Linked DNA regions of Drosophila melanogaster. The protein of the gene in region 3 interacts with the protein of the main gene of each other region in a pairwise test. Each region holds a gene or a part of one and is shown on either strand. Other genes may lie near its edges.

Evidence for each region.
Region 1: the proteins of Arf6 (region 3) and Nfs1 interact in a two-hybrid assay, tested with the Drosophila melanogaster proteins (one large-scale study listed by BioGRID).
Region 2: the proteins of Arf6 (region 3) and CG6118 interact in a two-hybrid assay, tested with the Drosophila melanogaster proteins (one large-scale study listed by BioGRID).
Region 4: the proteins of Arf6 (region 3) and Rlip interact in a two-hybrid assay, tested with the Drosophila melanogaster proteins (one large-scale study listed by BioGRID).

The regions. Positions count from the first base shown.
Region 1 is NT_033779.5:11,998,014-12,001,744, reverse strand, and holds Nfs1 (Nfs1 cysteine desulfurase), read right to left. Parts: upstream 2,092-3,731; 5' UTR 2,021-2,091; coding exon 1,891-2,020; intron 1,833-1,890; coding exon 574-1,832; 3' UTR 501-573; downstream 1-500. Other genes in the region: Hacd1 (3-hydroxyacyl-CoA dehydratase 1), read left to right, coding at 1-331. UniProt on the Drosophila melanogaster protein: Catalyzes the removal of elemental sulfur from cysteine to produce alanine. It supplies the inorganic sulfur for iron-sulfur (Fe-S) clusters.
Region 2 is NT_033777.3:15,431,730-15,436,759, forward strand, and holds the start of CG6118 (uncharacterized protein), read right to left. Parts: upstream 3,010-5,030; 5' UTR 2,456-3,009; coding exon 2,389-2,455; intron 1-2,388.
Region 3 is NT_033778.4:15,320,695-15,326,031, forward strand, and holds Arf6 (ADP ribosylation factor 6), read left to right. Parts: upstream 1-1,806; 5' UTR 1,807-2,018; exon of another isoform or gene 2,019-2,047; intron 2,048-2,108; exon of another isoform or gene 2,109-2,336; intron 2,337-2,429; 5' UTR 2,430-2,447; intron 2,448-2,754; 5' UTR 2,755-2,789; coding exon 2,790-2,871; intron 2,872-3,150; coding exon 3,151-3,453; intron 3,454-3,507; coding exon 3,508-3,650; 3' UTR 3,651-4,796; downstream 4,797-5,337. Other genes in the region: CG8155 (uncharacterized protein), read right to left, coding at 1-1,194, 1,282-1,326; CG8157 (uncharacterized protein), read right to left, coding at 5,267-5,337. UniProt on the Drosophila melanogaster protein: GTP-binding protein involved in protein trafficking; may modulate vesicle budding and uncoating within the Golgi apparatus. Promotes cell movement and remodeling of the actin cytoskeleton during compound eye morphogenesis.
Region 4 is NT_033777.3:21,015,698-21,021,253, forward strand, and holds Rlip (Ral interacting protein), read left to right. Parts: upstream 1-1,986; 5' UTR 1,987-2,080; coding exon 2,081-2,177; intron 2,178-2,244; coding exon 2,245-2,377; intron 2,378-2,432; coding exon 2,433-3,317; intron 3,318-3,747; coding exon 3,748-4,510; 3' UTR 4,511-5,056; downstream 5,057-5,556. Other genes in the region: CG5697 (uncharacterized protein), read left to right, coding at 588-730, 804-1,062. UniProt on the Drosophila melanogaster protein: Participates in receptor endocytosis during interphase, is also involved in mitotic processes when endocytosis is switched off.

The DNA.
Region 1 (3,731 bases), on a different chromosome or scaffold from region 3:
ATATGGATATTACGCTCTGAACATCGTCAAGGTGGTGCCGCATTTTGTGGTGTTCCTGCGCTACACCACATTCATTGTCCTGTATCCCATCGGCGTGACTGGGGAGCTGCTGTGCTTCTGGTGGGCCCAGAGCTATGCCCGTGAGAACAGCGTGTGGAGTGTGGTGATGCCCAACAAGTGGAACGCCACCTTCTCGTATTTTGGATTCCTGTGGATCGTCATGCTCGGCTACATCCCCATCTTCCCGCAGTTGTACTTGCACATGTTCGCCCAGCGCCGTAAGATCCTGGGCGGTGGATCCAGCGGCTCACCCCAGAAGAAGGCCAACTGAACCTTGACCAGCGGCGAATGCAAATTATTGCATCATTTGCATATCATTGGCCGTCGCACTTTGAGCCGTTTTCGCTTTTTGGGGTCTCTCTTGCCTCACCTCTTACACAAGCACATTCGTTCGGACTAAGCTTAGTTATAAGTGGTTTTGTGTACAAATAAACCTAGATACTCTTCCAACAAATTTATTTTCCCTTCGCTTTCAAAGTGTGGTGTAACAGTAACGGCTTAAATATTAGTACATTAATGCTGCGACCATTGGATGGTCTTTAGGTCGATGCCCTCTTGGACCATCTCCCACAGCGGCGACATCTCGCGCAGTCGCTCCACATGCTTGATGCACTTATCGGCGGTGTAGTCCACCTCCTCGACGGTGGTAAAGCGCCCGATGCCAAAGCGTATGGAGCTGTGGGCAAGATCCTCGTCGGTGCCGATGGCACGCAGAACATAGGAGGGCTCCAGGGAGGCGGAGGTGCAGGCGGACCCACTGCTCAGGGCCACGTCCTTAAGAGCCATCAGTAGTGACTCGCCCTCGACATAGGCAAACGACAAATTCAGGCAACCATTGTATGTGGCTTTGGCATCACCATTCCTGATGACATGCGGCAAGGCACTTGAAATCCTGTCCAGCAGGCGATTGGATAGAAAGTCCACCCATTTCTTGTCGTAGTCCATCTCACGCAAAGAAAGTTCCGCAGCAGCTCCCAATCCCACGGCGAGCGGGGCTGGAACCGTTCCGCTCCTTAGGCCACGCTCCTGGCCGCCGCCACTTTGGATGGGCTCGAGGCGAACCCTCGGCCTTCGTCGGACATACAGGGCGCCTACACCCTTTGGGCCGTAGATTTTGTGGCCGGATATAGACATCAGGTCAATGTTCATGGCGTTAACGTCCAGCGGGACCTTTCCCACCGCCTGAGCGGCATCCGTGTGAAAGAATACTCGGCGAGACCGGCACAGTTTGCCAATCTCATCGACGGGTTGCCGTACGCCGATTTCGTTATTCACCGTCATAATGGACACCAGCGAGGTCTCCGATGTGATGGTTTCCTCCAGTTGCTGGAGGTCGATGAGTCCGTTGGCCAGCACTGGCAGGTACGTGACTTTAAAGCCCTCGTTCTCTAAAGCACGACAAGAGTCCAGCACGCACTTGTGCTCCGTCTGGGTGGTGATCACGTGTCGCTTCTTAGTGCCGTAGAAACGGGCAACACCCTTTACTGCGATATTATTCGACTCGGTGGCGCCGGATGTGAAGATGATCTCCTTGGGATCGGCGCCAATCAGGGTGGCCACCTGCTCGCGGGCCTTTTCTACAGCGGACTCTGTTTCCCAACCGTAGGCGTGGGTACGGGAGTGGGGATTTCCGTAGAAATTGGTCAGATAGGGGAGCATAGCGTCCAATACACGTGGGTCCATTGGAGTGGTGGCCTGGGCATCCAGGTAAAGTGGTCTACCCTCGGTCTGTTCGTTCTTTATGTTGAATCGCACCTGTCTCTCCCGGAATTCTACGAACGAATACGATTTTGGTAAGCGGTAACTGTGCATCTTGGAGGATCCGCTTACCTTTGGATGTGGCGGCTGGTTTAGCCGCTGTCCTGGAGGAGGTGGCCTCGTGTCTAACCACATTGGCTAATGCATTCGTCGCCCGGGAGCGGAGGACCTGCGCCTGGATGCGTCCCAGCACTTTTTGCATTCTGATGGAATCCTAGAAATTCTGGTGTTAAAATTCGTTATCACGGATTTCACAATCAGTGGGACCGTATTCGGCGGCACGAGATATACCAAAGGACTCCGGAATTCACTTTAAAATTATCTGATTCGATTATGCAGAAGCAAGTTTCTGAATTTCTTTGAACATATGAAAAATGAATAGCATCTGTGCAAGAAACCAATATTTTTCAGATATATTCGCACTTAATGTATAATTTACAAGGAACTATATTTTCAAAAACCAGTTTTCATCTTAAATATGTTTGCTTACAAAATTATCTTAATCATTCAGCGAACTTAAGTTACGAATTCACGAAATTGCGCGCATAGGCACGGTATATTTTTCTCAGTGAGCCATAAAATACTCAAAGAATACTCAATACGCAAAGTAAGACAATTATAAACAAAAGTACAAAAGTTGAAGCAGTTTTGAAATAATAAATATAGGAAATAGGCAAAAATTAAAATCAAATTTAAATATGGTTGTCTGCCGGTTCTTTCAACAAGGCTCCTGCCGCTATGGCGCAAAGTGCAACAACGAGCATTTCGATGTTAAGTGAGTACATTGATATTAAAACTATGCAGATGAACTAATAACTTAATTATTTTAGGCAATATCTCAAAGCCGACATGGAATCCAGCCTCAATGGCAAGATGTGGCCTTTGTCCGCCTACGGACCCTTTAAGGACAAAGCGAATTTCCCCAACTTTATTCAGGACCAATCCTTCGAGGAGGTGCGGTTCATGTGTTACGAGGCCAAACGACAAAACCAATTCGAACAGTTCAGCCAACAGTTTAACCGTGAGGTCCTAGAGGCTAACAACAAGATGAAGACCATGCTTCAGATGTCGCCGCAGGTCCTGGAAATGATGATCAAGATCCACGAGACGCCGGAGGGCGGCACTGTGTCGGCTGCCCCTCAGCAGTCCAGTAATCCCTTCGCTGCAGCAGCTCCGGCTGCCGCCAATACATCTGCATCCATTTTTGGAAAGCCCACGCTGAGTGCGGGAAATATATTTGGGAATGCCACAAGCCAAGCCAGCAACACCAATAGCATTTTCGGCGGAACGATTAGCAATGCCAATGCAAGGAATAGCATTTTTGGTGTAGGAGCTGCGGCAACAGGTGCACAAAGTGTCTTTGGACAGCCACAGCAGCAACAGCTGCAGCCTGCTGCACAAGCTTTCCAAGGGGGCAACATTTTCGCCCAGGCGCAGGTTCAGGTGCAAGCTCAGCCAGTGAATCCTAATCCTTTCGGTGGTTTCCAACAGCAGCAGCAGCAACCGCAGTCGACGGGAATCTTTGGCCAAGCCGCAAGCCAAAATATGGGCGGAATGTTTACTCAGGCTTCTCAGCAACTACAACAGCAGCAGCAGGCAGCTGCCTCCGGATTATTTGCTCAAGCAGCAGCATCTGCATTCCCTAATCAACAACAGATGCAGCAGCAGCAACAGATGCAGCAGCAGCAACAGATGCAACAGCAACAAATGCATCAGCAGCAGCAGATGCAATAGCAACAAATGCAGCAGCAACAACAATTTCAAATGCAACAGCAACAGCAAATGATGCAGCAGCAGCAGCAGCAGCAAGCTCAACCGACCAACGAAATCCAGTCCTCAGTTTACAGTCGCATGGAGGATCTCAACGAGCAGGAAATCGAAGCATTCAAGGCGGATCAATTTCTACCAGGTGC
Region 2 (5,030 bases), on a different chromosome or scaffold from region 3:
TGGGCAGTTACGTTGGTTTTTTTTAAATATATTTTTGGTTGCTAAGCCAAGAGTCTTTTCTTTGGATTGCATAAAAGCTTTTCGAACGGCCACATCTGCCTTCAGCTACTGAAATTCAAATGGTCGTACATCTGAAGCGTTTCCTGACTTCCAGCCGCACTTCTATCTATTTACCAACTTTTGCTCGCACGTCGGATGGCCAATTAAACGGCCGCCGAAAAAGCACTAACCCACAACGCAGGCATTATAAAAGAATTAATAAGCAATTGCATAACGCTGGCTACGTGTCGAAGTAGGAAGTTAGCTGAATAGCGCAAAAATGTGAGAAATTCATGCAAGTTCCAGAGTAGAAAGCCCCAAATATTTAGCTCTAATGGCTTCCCAGCATAATTGGTTAGTACCCACTAACCACTACGTATTTTCACTTTCATAATATGCAGAAGTGTCTAGTGGCTAATGGCATTGGTCAGATACGATCTGATCATCTGCAGATCTGATGCTATCGATGGTATCTGTGACTTTCCTATGTCTTCGAAACAAATGACCAGATACAAGATGGCAGATTGCATAATGTTCATGCGAAACGAAAATAGAAAACAGAAACAACAATCGAAGAAATAACACTGAAGAAATGGATGTGTGCATGGCGGTGGGGTGATATATACAAATAATTTGTAGCGGTTTATCATCTAACGGCATTATTGGGCAACCTCCACTCCAATCCAATTCCAATTCCACTCCAACACTCCAAAACTCCAACACTCTGCTCGCCAACGCCAGCATTTAAACTATTTTCTTGTTATGTACTTCAGCTGAGTTTTGGCATCGATTTTTGGCCAACAGAAAATCCGATGCGTCATTCGCGATAATTGCGCGTGCCAGGGAGTCAGACATACAAATTATTTATGAAACTAACTGCTCGCTCATAAATTGGTGTGGCGAGCACATCGAAATCGAAATCTAGCTAGCCCTAGAGCAGAAGCAAATCAAATACAAATATTACGTATACGTTCGAGAGAGATCCACACGCGTCGCGCAGGAACTGTTGCAATCCGGGGACCGACCCAACGATGGGACATTGAACTCGAAACGAACGCGAACCTGCCCAGCCGAGTTTGTAAACAAACTGGGCTTATGTAATCGCTTAATTATAATGGAAATGAAAATGCCAAAACGACAGCAAGAAACTGTGCTTTTTGTTTGCTCGGAATGGTAATGGTAGATGGTAGATGGTAATGGTAAAAGGTAAATGCCAGTGGTAAACAAGCTTGAAGGCTGCGCTTGTAGGGATATGCATTTCTGGTTTGTGCTCAAATCCATTTGCATGGCAATGAAATGTACCAGAAAGTGGGTCAGCTTATGACAGGACTCGAAGCCGACGAACAACATTCACCCACAGAGAAAGAAAATCTAATACGATATACGTATGTTCAAATAATATGTGACAAGTATCAAAATGTTTGTAATGTATGTAAAGGCTTTAAGTAAAAAAAAATGTATATATATATATATATATATAAGTATCTTTAAAATTTTAGAAGACAGTAAGGTTTTCTTTCAGAGATTCGCCTGAGAAACCAACATTACTGGCAACGAGGAGAAATTACTGAATGTCTGAAAGGAAACATAAATTCTGTACCCGAAAAGGGATCTTTCTTTCTTTTATTATTCATTGTGGCTGTAGAAGTGGCAGCGACGTCGGCAGTGGCAGCGACGGCTACTGCGACGGCGAAAGAAAAACGAAGAAACGAAGCAACAACTTTCACCTATTAATATTCGTGTCGTAGCAGCGGCAGAAGCGAGCTGCCAAAGCCAAAGCTAAAGCTGTAGCTAAAGCCAGGCCAAAAGACCGAGACCGAGGCAGAAGCAGAGTCAGAGTCAGAGATACAGATACATTGCCAGCCAAAGATACAGATACTGCAGAAGCAGAAGCAACAAAACAACTAGTCACTGCCGATGCTCAACGACGGCAACACATCGCATATAGCATCGCATGTAGCATGTAGCTCGAAACTCCCAACTTCAAGCTTCAAGCTCCAAACTGGCTGCAACTCCAGCCAGTTGGGTCCCCTTGCTGGGGAAACTTTCTATAAAAAAAGCAGCTTTTGCTTTTTGTTTTGAAAATTTCTTTCTGGCTGCGCAGGTTGCCCGAGTGCACGGTTTGGTTCGAACGTTTGTTTGTTTGTTGCTTTCGCTTGGCATTCTGCACTCCAATGGGGCACATCCAGACTCGAACGGATCCGAAACGCCTTTTGCGTTTGTTACTTTTCTTATTGGTAAAACTAGCTTAGAATATTTGGATTTATAGTTATTCCCTACTAAACCCAAAGTATCTAGTAGTTAGTAACTACTGCTTGTTAGTAGCTAGCCAAGTTCAAGGCAACTTACAACAATATCTGGTCGAGTATTGACAATTCGCATTGACTGTGGGTGTCATAATCTCGTTGGCAGCCATATCCAAATCCAATTGTTTGATGATAATAGTGCTGTGTGCTAGGTGTACTCCAATCCCGATTGGTATCCTTGAGCTGTTCGGGAACTTTCCGTAATCCAATGGGCGCACACAAAATATATGTTTTTTTCTTTGATAGTTTCTCTTCTCGAAGCTTATTTGGTTGGCTGGCGGTGGCCGGTTTTCATTGTAGCATATCAATATTTGTCATTCAAGTGGCACTCACGCACCGAAACACCGAAAAATCACTTTCACTTTTGCGTTTTGATATGCAGAGAACACAAGGCAGTTAATAAATACGGATGCGTGGTCTTCGAAATCCGGAGAGAGGGGAGTGAAATTCAAGATCGCAAAACCACAGAGTCAAAAGAGGATAACATTTTGATTACACTTGGGCAGCATGATGCTGTTGCTATTCCACACTTTTCATATGATCTTGTTTTCTTTTCGAGTATTTTTCTTATATGATTTTCTTGCTATGAAGTTTCTGCGCAGGCGCGACTTTCTACGAGCTGGTCTGGCGATTCTTGCGCGCCGAACGGTGGAACGTAACGTCTGCCTCGAAACGCGGTAGACGTCTGTGCGGCAGCGCGCAGTGAAACCAGCGCTTATCCTCAAAGATCGCTAAGAAATTTCATGCCATTCCATTTCGTTTCTCAGCGGCAGCGACGCTTTCGCTTGCCGCACTCACACACCTGCAAGGTGGAAGCTCTGCCGTTGGTTCTTCGGCTCAAGAGTGCTTTTACCATTTCTTTCTCTCGCGCATACATGCACGTTCGAGCGCACTCACACACACACGGGCCATAGCAAGTTTGGTTCTTCGTTGAAGTCTTTTGTTTTGGTCCGCCGTTTGTGTTTGCCATGTGCTCTGAGTAAGAGTTTCGCCTTGGGAGCTCACTCTCGCACACCAAAGCCGAAATGGTTAATTATTTACAGCTTACCATCGTTTCGATTCCAGTGCGTTCCCCAGCTGCTTTTATAACTTTAACTTTCATCGCTGCCTTCTTAGACCAGCTTTTCCCACTTCCTCCACCCCACCCCCTGCTCGTGTTTGCCAAGCGCTGAAAATTACAACTTTCGTCTATTTTTGTCAAGATTTTTTTTATAATTATATAATTTAAGCGTTTTTTCTTCTTCTTGTCGCACATTTTTGGCCCCCGTTTCGCTGGCAATCTGATTCCGTTCGCTTTTCCATTGTTGCTGCCGTTTTTACTTTTCTTTGCATAAACCGCACGGCTAATTACGCACAAGGAGAGTGAAACTCCATTAGATTCTTAATTATACTTTAATTGCCAACGGATAGATAATGTGGAGAGCAGCACCCAGCGAGCCGGGCAGAAATCAACTTGAATCGCCTCACCAGTGGGTTGCAGTTGCAGTGAGTTGCATTTGGAAATCTTTCACCGCTGCATTTCTCATTGTTGCTGGCGGTACTAGTACTGGTACTGGTACTGGTACTGGTACTGGTACTGGGACTGGGTCTGGTGCTCGTACTGCTCTTTCTACTGGTCTACCCATGCGCAGTTAGCGTTGCAAAGCTCTGTCTTCAGCAGGCTCCATTTGGAGTGGTCTTGCTGGGGCTCTTGGGTGCTTTTCGGGGAGCCGGGGCTCTCTGCACTTACAGTTGTTTCTTTTGTCTTACACTCGGATGCGCGATGCTGCCCTGCTGGTTGTAGTTGTAGAAAACTTTCTAATGTAGAAGATGTCTGCATTAGACACTTCCCCTGGCCATTGTACTTGGATTGAATTGCCCCGCTGCCGCCGTGGGGCACAGTGGTAGGCCTCTATTTACTCGGCATTTGTCAGCTTTTTATTTCTTTCGAGATTTTCCCAAGCTTGATAAATTGTCGGCGAGAATTTCAATGTTGTAAAGTTGTATAGGCAGTATTCTAAGCTTGTGAGTTCACACCGTTGCCGATTGATCGATTCTTTTAACATATTTTACTCAGCTGGGTGAAAGTTTGTGTGATAAAGCCACCGACTGTTACATATAGAGATGTAAATCATCTTTCCATTGCGGATACATCGAGTATACCGTATCCACATCCACTTCAAGTAGGGATGCAGAACCTGTCGAAGATCCATTTAGTCATCCAGTGCTCAATCTTGTGTCGCATGACCACGACTTTCGACCAACTAATAGGCCCGAATTTGTATTTACATGCTAATGAGCAACGGAATATTTTGTTTCTACTGAAAACGAAAACGCATTTTATTGCCAAACGATGATCTTTGTCAATAGGAGAGCTAATAGATTTAATTGGACGGCTGGTTCGTTATATAAATCTCGACCGGGCCAGAACTGCTGGGGGAAAAAGAAACGAGCTAAGATGTATCGCGGCTAAATGATTAATGCAGCTAAGAGTCGAGACCCCAAAAGCCAAAATCGTATTTTCACTTTTTAATAATTAACATAAAATTATTAAGAAGACGGCGAAGAAGCTGTGCAGAGGGCGAGGCAGAACGAGCGAAGATGCCGAAAACGATGCCAAACGCATTAAGCGCCCAGCCACAAAGACAAGGCAAGGTAAAGAATAAGCCAAGAAAGTTGTAAAATCCGAGCAGGAAAAGAGATTTC
Region 3 (5,337 bases):
ACAGAAAAGTAAGTCGTCCGCTTGCTGCGACTTGAGGTACTCCCAGAACTCAGGATCATAAAAACTTAGCGCCTCCGTTAGGTGAGCAAATTTCTGAGTCATTGCAATCCCATCCAGCATGAAGTTTCCACGCATACGTGACATTATCGCACAAAAGCAGATGTAGGCCTGTGCCTCGTCGTTCATGGTAACCAGTAGCGGGGAAGCAATGTCCGACATGCCTTGACAATATGAGACCGATGGATGGTTTAGTGCATATGTGGTGAGGATATTGAAAAGCGCAGCGATGTTCTGATTGTCGTCGCTGCCTGCATAAAATGGATGCAGGCGGTCCGTGCGGAGAACATCCTTCTTTACCATGCTCGTTACGTAAGCCAGTTCTCCAGCCACACTGCCTCGCTTCACGGCCGCTTTCCATGTGTCTCTCAGACGACAGTACTGCTCAGACTTTCGTCGCATGAATTCCATACGCTGGTGTCCATCAAGTGCCAGTCCGTTAGCGCCACCGGGATAAACGTTAAGCAGATGTTTCCACACAACGCGCCGCAGACTGGGGTCAATGCCTCCTAGGAAGATGACCCTATGCAACTCGTCCTTGCGTTGAATCTGACCAAGTGCGTCCAGAAAGAGCCGGAACTCGCTGTCGCACATGGGCGGCCGTGGCGGTAGATTGGCCATATGCTCCTCGGATAAGTTAAACGCTTTCTGCACTATGGAGAAGGTTTTCTCCATCTGATTCAGAATGGAGCTGCCCAGTTTGGTCTGCATGTGCTGGACATATTTCTGGGAGACTCCTAAGGACTGCAGTGGTGACATAAGCTCGCGGGCGGGTACAAAAGGTGCAGGAGTTGCGGGAGCAGGCGCTCCCGTTATGGATCTACCCGGGGAGGCCTCGGTCTCACACTCCCTGACCACCGTAAATGGCTTCACATCGATCTGCAGGGTGAGGCAGGGTTCTGAGGCCGTCTGAATGGAAATGTTGTGAATCCTCAGAAAGGCGGCATCCAGATCCCAGTCGGAGCGCACGGCCAGGTAGATCTCGTTGCCCGCCGGATCAAAGGCCTTGTACTTAATGGAGAAGTCCGACTTGACATCGAAGGCCTTGGCCAGCAGGGAGTACAACACCTCCAGCGTGGTGATCTGCGGGTCCACTGAAAACTTTCGCCACTCCGGCCGAGCAGTGGGTTCGCATTTCTGTGGGCGATTTCAAAAAAATTAGATTGAGGAACACAAACTAAGCAGCCCTTTTGTTGTCTCGCCTTCTGGCCACCTTTCACTTGCCTTCACTTTCACCCGAACCGCCTCCCGGGGGCAAATGCCAGCCATGTTTTCCGAGTCTGTTCTGGTCGACGACTAACTAAGTTCCATTGTACCTCTGAGCGATGTCAGTATCGTAAGTATTGCTCAAATATAAAACAATACAAAAGAAGGAAACTGAAATCAATCGACTTGATTTCAATCATCGGTTTCAGTGTGGCCGCCCTAGGGCTTTGTAAGTTCACCAGGGCTACATTAAAATACCAAATCACTAAATACACAAAACAAAAATTTTTAAAATTAAAAAAAATTAACAAATTGTTGAACGTACGAGGAGAATATATCAGCTACATTGTTTGCTAAATTAATATGAATAATAAATGAATATAAGAAAATAAATCTTTTTCAATTTTGAATTGCAAAAGTAATAACTTATTGGCCAAAAAATCACGATATCCCCGCCAGTCACCGTTTTTCATCTGATAAATTCAGTATTTTTGGTATTTATCCTCCGCATTCTTTGCATTTTTTAGCGTATTTTCTGGAATTCCCGAAGATCTTGTTCCGCTCTGCGCTAACGGGCACATTGCTTCGTGTATGTGTATATAAATACAAGAAGATTAGTGCAAAATTGTTGTTGTTAGTTATAGTTTTTTGGCCGCCGTGTGCTAGCAAATGCATTTTATGCCCCGGCCCGCGCACTTTGGCACTACATGTTAACGGATTTCAGGCTGGCGTGGAACGAATTGGGCTGGAAAGCGGTGCGTAACGGCGGTCGTCGGAGACTTGGGTGTGTATACATGTGTATGTGTGTTACGGGCGTGTTTGTGACGTAGGCAAGCAGCAGCGAGAGAGCGAGCGAAATTCCGTAGAATCCGAAAACCATCCGATATCGTTGCTCCCAAGCCGGCTTTACTGGGTCGTCGAGGGGTGCGGTGGCTGTTCAGGGGGCGGGGGTGGAGCGGTCGGATCCACCCGCCCATTCAGTGGAGCCAGCGATAAGCCCGCAATTGAGATAACTCTGCCTCAATTTGCGAGACACTATAGTGTGTTTATCTGTCCAATTGTACTTCCTATGTGTAAGCATGTGTGCGTGTGTTTGTGTGTGCGACTGTGTGCTGCAAGCTCTTCACTGATAAATTCTGCCTCTCCACTTTTTTCTCGCTTTTTAGCAACGAGCTGATGACAATGTAAGTGAAATTATTATGCAAAATAATGGTCTTAGCTTCCGCCGTCGTACAAGCTCTATATGGCCACCAAATTGCCTGTGCCCGCCGTATGTGTACATATGTAGCTACATTTGTATGTTCATATATCACTTACGCGCCTTCGCGCGACGGCGTTCTTATATCATAAATTGATATGTTAACTGCAAACTGTATTACAATGGCCCTATTATCTGGAAATTCACTGACCCTGCCCTGAATCTCGCCCAGCTATTCTTATCGATATGCTTATTTGGAAGACCTCGCCAACTCTACTCGAACTGTTTTTCAGATTGGCTAAGGTTTAATGGATGACACATCAGCACCATGGGAAAGTTACTATCAAAAATTTTCGGCAACAAGGAAATGCGAATTCTCATGCTCGGACTGGACGCGGCTGGAAAAACAAGTAAGCACATAAACAATAAAGGGTTCTCGAATTCGATTGTGGGCCTGATTAGTACCCATTAGTTTCATCAGTTTCCTAAGTGGAAACCAATCCCATTTAAAAAATACTCTTGAGGCGAGGCAATTATTGTTTTGTTTTTATTCTTATTGTACTTTGAAAAAATGTACAATATAAAGACCTTTCAATACGTACACCAGTACTATCACTAATCGAATTCGAGCTATTTTGTTTATACATCCTTTGCGTGTCTAAAGTAATATTGTTTTTGTCCACCCACAGCGATTCTGTACAAACTGAAACTTGGCCAATCTGTTACAACGATACCCACTGTGGGCTTTAATGTGGAAACCGTCACCTATAAGAATGTCAAGTTCAATGTGTGGGACGTCGGTGGGCAGGATAAGATTCGACCGCTATGGCGACACTATTACACGGGTACACAGGGTCTGATCTTCGTCGTGGATTGTGCGGATCGGGATCGGATAGACGAGGCGCGCACGGAGCTGCATAGGATAATTAACGATAGGGAGATGCGCGACGCCATCATACTGATATTTGCTAACAAGCAGGATCTGCCTGATGGTTAGTATAGTGCTCAGCCAATTGTTTCCATCCGCTTATTGTTCTCTCTTGCAGCAATGAAACCCCATGAAATCCAGGAAAAACTAGGTTTAACTAGAATAAGAGATCGCAATTGGTATGTACAACCATCATGTGCCACATCCGGCGATGGCCTGTCCGAGGGCCTCATTTGGTTAACGTCGAACCATAAGTTATGAGAATCGTAATCGAGCATTTTCTTATATGTATGTATATGGCATGTATTATTCGAAGCGAAGCAAAAGCGAAAATATTCTATTTTATTTATACAAAGAAAACCAACCGCAAGCGCATAGTAAAAACTCAATTCGTAAAAACGAACGTACATAAATTACAAATGTTAAAAATGGTATATAGAAGTCAGATATATATAGTAATTATATATACTCTCAATTAACCAACCAATATTCTCACTAGTAAAAATACACATACCTACAAAATAAAAGAAGCATCAAAATAAGCAGCCGGTAAATATCCGTAAAGTAAATTATGCGTGAAGCACAGAGACATAAAGCAAAACATCAACGGAGATTAGCCTTAAGTAAGTTTTTCTTGTAAATTATATTGATGAGACACGTAAGCAATAAGTTGAAAGCTTGTTTATTGCAACTGTTACTATATTTGACTTGAGCAAGGGTGTAACGAGTCTTAAATAAATTGTAAATAAATATTCAAATTAAAGCCCATATACAACAACAAACGAAATAAAAGAAAACACCGAACAAACAATTGAACAAACCTATAGATTGCTATTTAGATTAAAACTGAGTCTTCAAAATATAATGAAATAGTAACTGTGCCTTCCTCAATGTGTGTCTATGATCCCTCATTATTTTCCCCACTCCAACAGCTAATTTTCTCAATCTGATATCCTTCGAGACGAAGAAGGTCCCTGGATTTGCGAGAAAGGCATATTCTGACTTCAGTGTCAAACGCATTTGGTTTGTATTGTGCGCTCAATTTGAAAGGTAAACATGCCACATTCAGTGCCATAATTTGCAGGGTAAATGAGCCTGGGTATACCTGAGCATGATTTGTTCAACACGGCGTTCAATAATTTACCTTTGTTTTGCAATCATCCCCGAATTGTCCGAAAAACTCCTTGGTACATCCTTGCATGAATAATATAATTTATTTTTTGTGGGTGTATGTCTTGTTTTATACCTTTACCGTTTTTATCAAAACCAACCTATTCATAATACCCCGTAATATCTCAGTATCTAAGATTTTTGTTGCTGAATTATAATTATAAATTTTAAGTTATGAAACAAATCATAGGTTTCAAAGTTATTTTCTGTAAATATGTTTTTGTATTATTATTGTATTATAATAATAAAAATATATAATAATTAGTAGAGTCACGTTTTACAGATGAAAAGGTTGTGATGAAGATGACGAGTTCCCAAATAAACGTCATCTAGCGATCCACGAAGTGACGAAGCGCTTATTGCCAAGATAATCTTGTTAATATTCTCACATGAAGTGACACATCCTATGAAATTTGTATGTAGAATTAAACGATTCCGACTTAATAAAGTGTATATATTGTTAATATATATATTATTAGTCAGGATCAATAGCCGAGTCAATCTTTTCTGTGTGCAGAATCCCAGAGTGTAGTATTTCCTTGGTTTTGCGTCTCCTCAAGATGCGTGTTTGTTCTTTCCTTCGTTTGCGAGTTATCTCCAGGATCCGTGGTCTCCTTAATATTTGGTTCACGAAAACAGCAGGTATATGTTGGAAAAAACTATTTATTTTTTGTTTACGATTTTAAGACGATTAAGAAATTGGGGTATTAGAAGCGCCCATGATGTCCTCCATGGTGTCTGTGGTGTTCGCCAAAGCCGCCTTGTCCGCCACCGAAAC
Region 4 (5,556 bases), on a different chromosome or scaffold from region 3:
CTTATCCTTATCGCTATGGGAAACTGGGGGAGGCGACTTCTCTGCTGCGGTTATGTAATGCCCCAAAAAAGCGCCAGATAAGACCAACCGCCGGTTGCGGAAGATGAGCGGATCGCCACGGCCCATGGAGATAAAGTTGTTTACAGGAATCCGGACCGAGCACAAAGACAAACAGCAATGGCAATAAAGCAATGGGACAGAGAGACAACCCAGCTGCAAGCTAATTAAAGTTGCGACAGAACGAAGCCAGTCGCCAGTAGTCCGCCAGTTGCGAATGGAGCAATTTCCAGCCGGGAGTGTTTGCAATCCTGGTACTATCCCGTGAGAAGGGCTGAAAAAGGACTGTAAAATACCCAGTTCCCATCTATAGTTATCTGTCGTGCCTGCAAGGGGCTACGGCAACTTTGGTGGTATTGACAAAAAAAAAACGAAAGATACATGTCACAGTTATCATATATAAATTATCAGTCATTTGAATAAATCATTATTCATTATTATTATTATTTTCACTTCTTGTTACAGATAAAGTTACATAAACTGCGTATACCCTCTTGTTCGGCACACATCCAGGGTACCACACGGCAAATATGTCCTGCAACGAGAAGACAGCGCTTCTGGCAACGCAACAAGGACATCAGCAGCGGCAGCAGCGGCAGCAGCAGCACATCATTGTCGTGCCCGCGACGGGGAAGGATCCAAAGGATTATGAGCCCATTTTCACAACTGCTGAGTAAACGCTTTCCGTCGTATTTCATTAAAAAATAACTTCGTTACACAGTGCCGCCTGCCCGCTTCTTTCGTAGCTATTCCTACGGACTGACGCTCGAGGAGCTCCTGCCCTTCGCTCTGGATCCCTGGTGGCAGGCCGTACGGCGCCTCAGCTGCGGGCTCCTGGGCCTGACTTTCCTGCTGACCCTGATTGCTGGACTGGTTATGGCCTATTCCGACAGTGTCTGTCTCCCAAATAGAGCAATTAGCAGAAACGCGACCACCACGACAACGATGGCCACGCCACTATCCTTGGCTCTCAACGGCTCCCAGCTGCTGATGGCCAGTTTATAGTGGCCGTAAGCTAATCTGTGTAGCATTTTGGAGATGCCGCAATCCACCCTGCGGAATTGCATCAGCCGCATCAGCTCGCACTATTAGCATTTGTTTGGCTTGCCGGTAATGGAGGCGACCTAATCCTCCTCCTCTCTACTGTTTACCCCTACTCAAGCTGAGTGATAAGCGATGCACCGCGGGATTGATTGGTCGTGAAATAATTATACTGATTAACTTATTTGCTACACAACCGCCTACTCGTAAAGTAAAAAGAATGCAAAAGGTATAAGGAAGCGTTTCCGTACCAATTAAGAACATTGTATCGCAAACTTATTAATTTTTATATATATACATATATATATATGAATATTACTTAAACTAATAAACGAATAGTTTTTTTTCATCGCTGTATTCTGGTTTCGGTTTCTGGGAGTTTAGAAGTTAACAAACCGCCTTATAGTTTTACAGCCCCACCCTGAAAAAATGGTTTGATTTAGTTTTATTTTATAAATAGTCTTGGCAATTTGTATACTTGTGAAAAAACATTTTCACCACGCCCACACTAGCGCGCACAATTAACAAAATCCTGTAGTTACAGAGGTGGTACTCTTGTCATTTTGGAAGTTTTATGTATTATGTAGTTTATGTATATATATAAAAAATATTTTCTTAGAATTTAAATTATTTAAAATATTATTATTATTATATTATATATTAACACATATTTATTTATTTATTTATTATATATATATATATATATATATATTAATATTATAAAAATTTAAGAGTTAGTAGCTGATCGCATTTCTGATAGTTGAGGAACTCGACTGTAGCGTTTTCTCTTGTTTCAATTTGCCTTTTTTTAAATATCTACACCGTTACTACATATTTTTTACATGACACAGTAGCGCCATCTGTGCACTTATCAGTGTTGGATAGCAGCGGCGACTTCGATTAAGCAATCGATTATTTGTTGCATATGTTGTTTACGGCAATTGTTTATATTTATTTACTGCTGGTGAAGTGATTATTCGTGATGGATTTTGACAGTCCCGAGGAGAAGGAGTTTCCCGGGCTGTACGCCTCCGAGGCGGCGGACGCTAAGTCGAGGAAGAGCAAGGAGGAGAGCGACTGTGAGTGGAGCGCAAAGATGTGGGCGTAAGCTGGGAAAAAATCAATGGGCTCACCTTGCCTTTACAGTTAGTGAGGATCACGACCATAGCAAGAAGGACTTGTTGATTGGCCGGCGCAAGGACAAGAAGGAAAAGGGCAAGGATCGAGGATACGCCGCTCTGGAGGGCGAGAGCTCGCCGGAGGAGGAGCTGGACACCAAGTGGGTGCAGGTCAGCTGACCCAGAGACAAGTAATATTTTTTCTTTTACTTCCAGAAGTCCATCCAAGTCGAAAAAGTCAAAGACCTTTAAGTTCACCAGCTCCAAGAGCAAGGAGAAGCGGGAAAAGTCGCGGGACAAGTCTGAAAAAGACTCGAAGCACGCAGAGGAGGAGCCTTCCGTCTCCCACAAGGTCAAGGAGAAAGAGCGGGATAAGGAGAAGGACCGTGATGAGCCCAAGAAGAAGGACAAGGAGGAGAAGCGCAAGGAAAAGGACAAGAAGGCTGACAAGAAGGACAAAAAGGATAAGAAGAGCAAGCAGCTGTCGCAGCAGCAGGACGACGTCTCCGCCGCGGAGGAAGTGCTGGCACTTGGGTATCCCGTCTTTGGGGTGTCCGTTAGCTTGGCGACCGAACGATCCCGCTGCCACGACGGCGTGGACATTCCCCTGGTTGTGCGCGACTGCATCGACTTCCTGCAGGATCACCTGAAGTGTGAGCAGATCTACAAGATTGAGCCCATCAAGACGCGTCTGATGCACTTCAAGCGGTTGTACAACAACCGGGAGCACGACTCCGCCGTTGATGAGCTCAACCTGCCTACCGCCTGCAGTCTGCTGAAGCTCTTCCTGCGCGAACTGCCGGAGCCACTGCTGACCACCGATCTGGTGGCCCGCTTTGAGGAGGTAGCCTCTCATCCGAAGGTAACCACGCAGCAGGCAGAGCTGCAGCAGCTGCTTGAACAATTGCCCAAGTGCAATCGCACCCTCTTGGCGTGGGTGCTGCTCCACTTCGACGCGGTGATCCAGCAGGAAAGACACAATAAGCTCAACGCTCAGTCGCTGGCTATGCTGCTCAGTCCGACGCTCCAGATGTCTCACCGACTAATGGTGGCCCTACTCTGCCACTGCAACAACTTGTTCGCGGACGTCCAGCTGATAAAGTGAGCAAACACCGGCTAGCCGGATAACAGTGGTGGGAAATATCCAAGTACCTTTGTGTTGGTAAAAGAGAAGTCCACATTTAACAACTATAGTTAAATCACAAGAACGAATCGAAGTCATAGCTCTGAAGTTAACTACTAAACTGTTAGTTTTAGTAAACTGTTAGTTTCCATATTTATCTAATGATATAAATTGTTTTTTTATATGTATAATAGGTACTTATAAGAACCCAGATAATTCCCACCACTGTTGGCAGTTGATAAGATTGCTGCTATAAAAATCGCCAGATTTAGTCGTTTATTTTGCAACCGACGATGAGCACATTACCCCGTAAACAGAAGCGCTTTCCACGTTTCGCCAGTTTTCTAATCAGGCAGAATGGCACACATTTAAACAAAGTTATCATAATACTAAATTGTCATCTCTTAGGTATGTGCCCCCTTTAACATCGACCAGCCCAAAGCTTCCGGATACGCCGGAGGACATCCAGACGGAGTTGCGCAAGCAGGACAGCCTCCTGTCCCAGATCCACAGCGAGATGAACGCCGGGTTCATTACCAAGAAACGCGAGGAACAGCTGTGGGAAGTGCAGCGCATCATTACCCAGCTGAAGCGGAAACTACGAACTTTTGAGAAGAAACAGGAAAAGACTGCGGAGGAAGTAGACAACAGCAGCAGTGCTCCGCCCGCTGTAGCCAGTGAAGATACCACTGACTCCAAACCAGCTGGAACTCCAGCCGTATCTACGAACAACAGTATTTCCCAGGAAGAGCCAAAAACCGATACACTAACTCCGAAAGATGCTCCTAACGATTTTACTATTGATCCCAGCACTGGCTTTATTTTGCTCCCCAAATCAAATCCGCACCGCGAAAATTTGCTGCGGCTCCAAATTGAATATGACGAGCTAATGGAATGGCAGAACGAACTAAAAGCACGTATCGTCGCCGAGCGCAACGAAGTCTATAGGCTCAAGCAGCTGTACGAGCAGCAGTCAATAAACAGTCAAATGGCCTCCTTGGCCTCGGGATCTCAGGCTCCCCCAGAATCCGACTATGAGCGGATAATCGAGCACTATACACGGGAGAATGCGCTGCTGGAGCACAAGAAGAATATGCTGGGCATGGAACTAAAGGAGGAACGACGGGCCTGTATTGCTCTACAAGTTGAGCTGCGGCTCCAGCAGTTTTAATGTATTAATTCGATTAATGTATTACTTGGATGGGTCAATTTGAGGGATATAACTAAGTTCCTATTCCGGAAACTTAATGGTCACATTTCCAAAGAAACATAAAAGGTCTACTAGGCAATCATAGGAGGTTTCTTAGATTCGTAGAAGACAATTCTATGTCACATATCTAAAATATTCAAATGAATAAACTTGTAAAGTTTTTGATAATTCATTTATCTGCAAACGTAGTCACTGTTCTAAACAGTGTCCTTTGTGAATTGCAATATATGAGAATTTTCAGTTCAGCTTTTAAGGAGATAAAATACTGCTAAAACATAAAACGGATTCCTCATGCCTAAAGTCAGTTTATTGTTTATTTGGAAATGAGCTAGTTTCAGACTTGACCCACCGAAATATATGTATGTATATAGGGTTACCAATTTTAAATCTCAATGTCTACTTGCGATCAAATGCTTTGTTCAAACTATAATTACTGTTAAACGGCGCAAAGCCCCAAAGAAATCTTGTTAGACAACTTTACTGCTTTCAACAATTAAATGAGAAAACAAACTCAAAATTCCCTTTTCTGTACTGAACTATTGCATCGAAATATGTCTCCTCGAAGAATTTTGTAAATGCCGGTAAAGTAGCTGCGTTTGTGTGTGCCGACAATCAAGATCCGATTTTCTAAATCGGTCTGATGACTTAATTCCAATCCGAGAAATACAGGGCACAGATTAGAAGATGTTTAGACGACGGATTGGCTGTTCGCTGGGGTGAAACGGAAATGACATCATCTCATATTACGTCTTGTCAACATTGTGATGGTCAAGGAACCGAGGTGGGCTTTGCGTGTTACGATTACTTTATTTAATATTTATTATTAATAATTTTAGAATACATTATCATTATGCATTACGTTCGGGGCGTGTTTTCTGTATTCCGCTGAAGTACAACTTAAAAATATCACACACAAATACCACGGGGGAAAGATGAGTCCTCCGGAATGCCAAACCGCGTCAACTCGCTCCCCTCCATGATTAAGTTATTTCCGCTGGACTACAGAT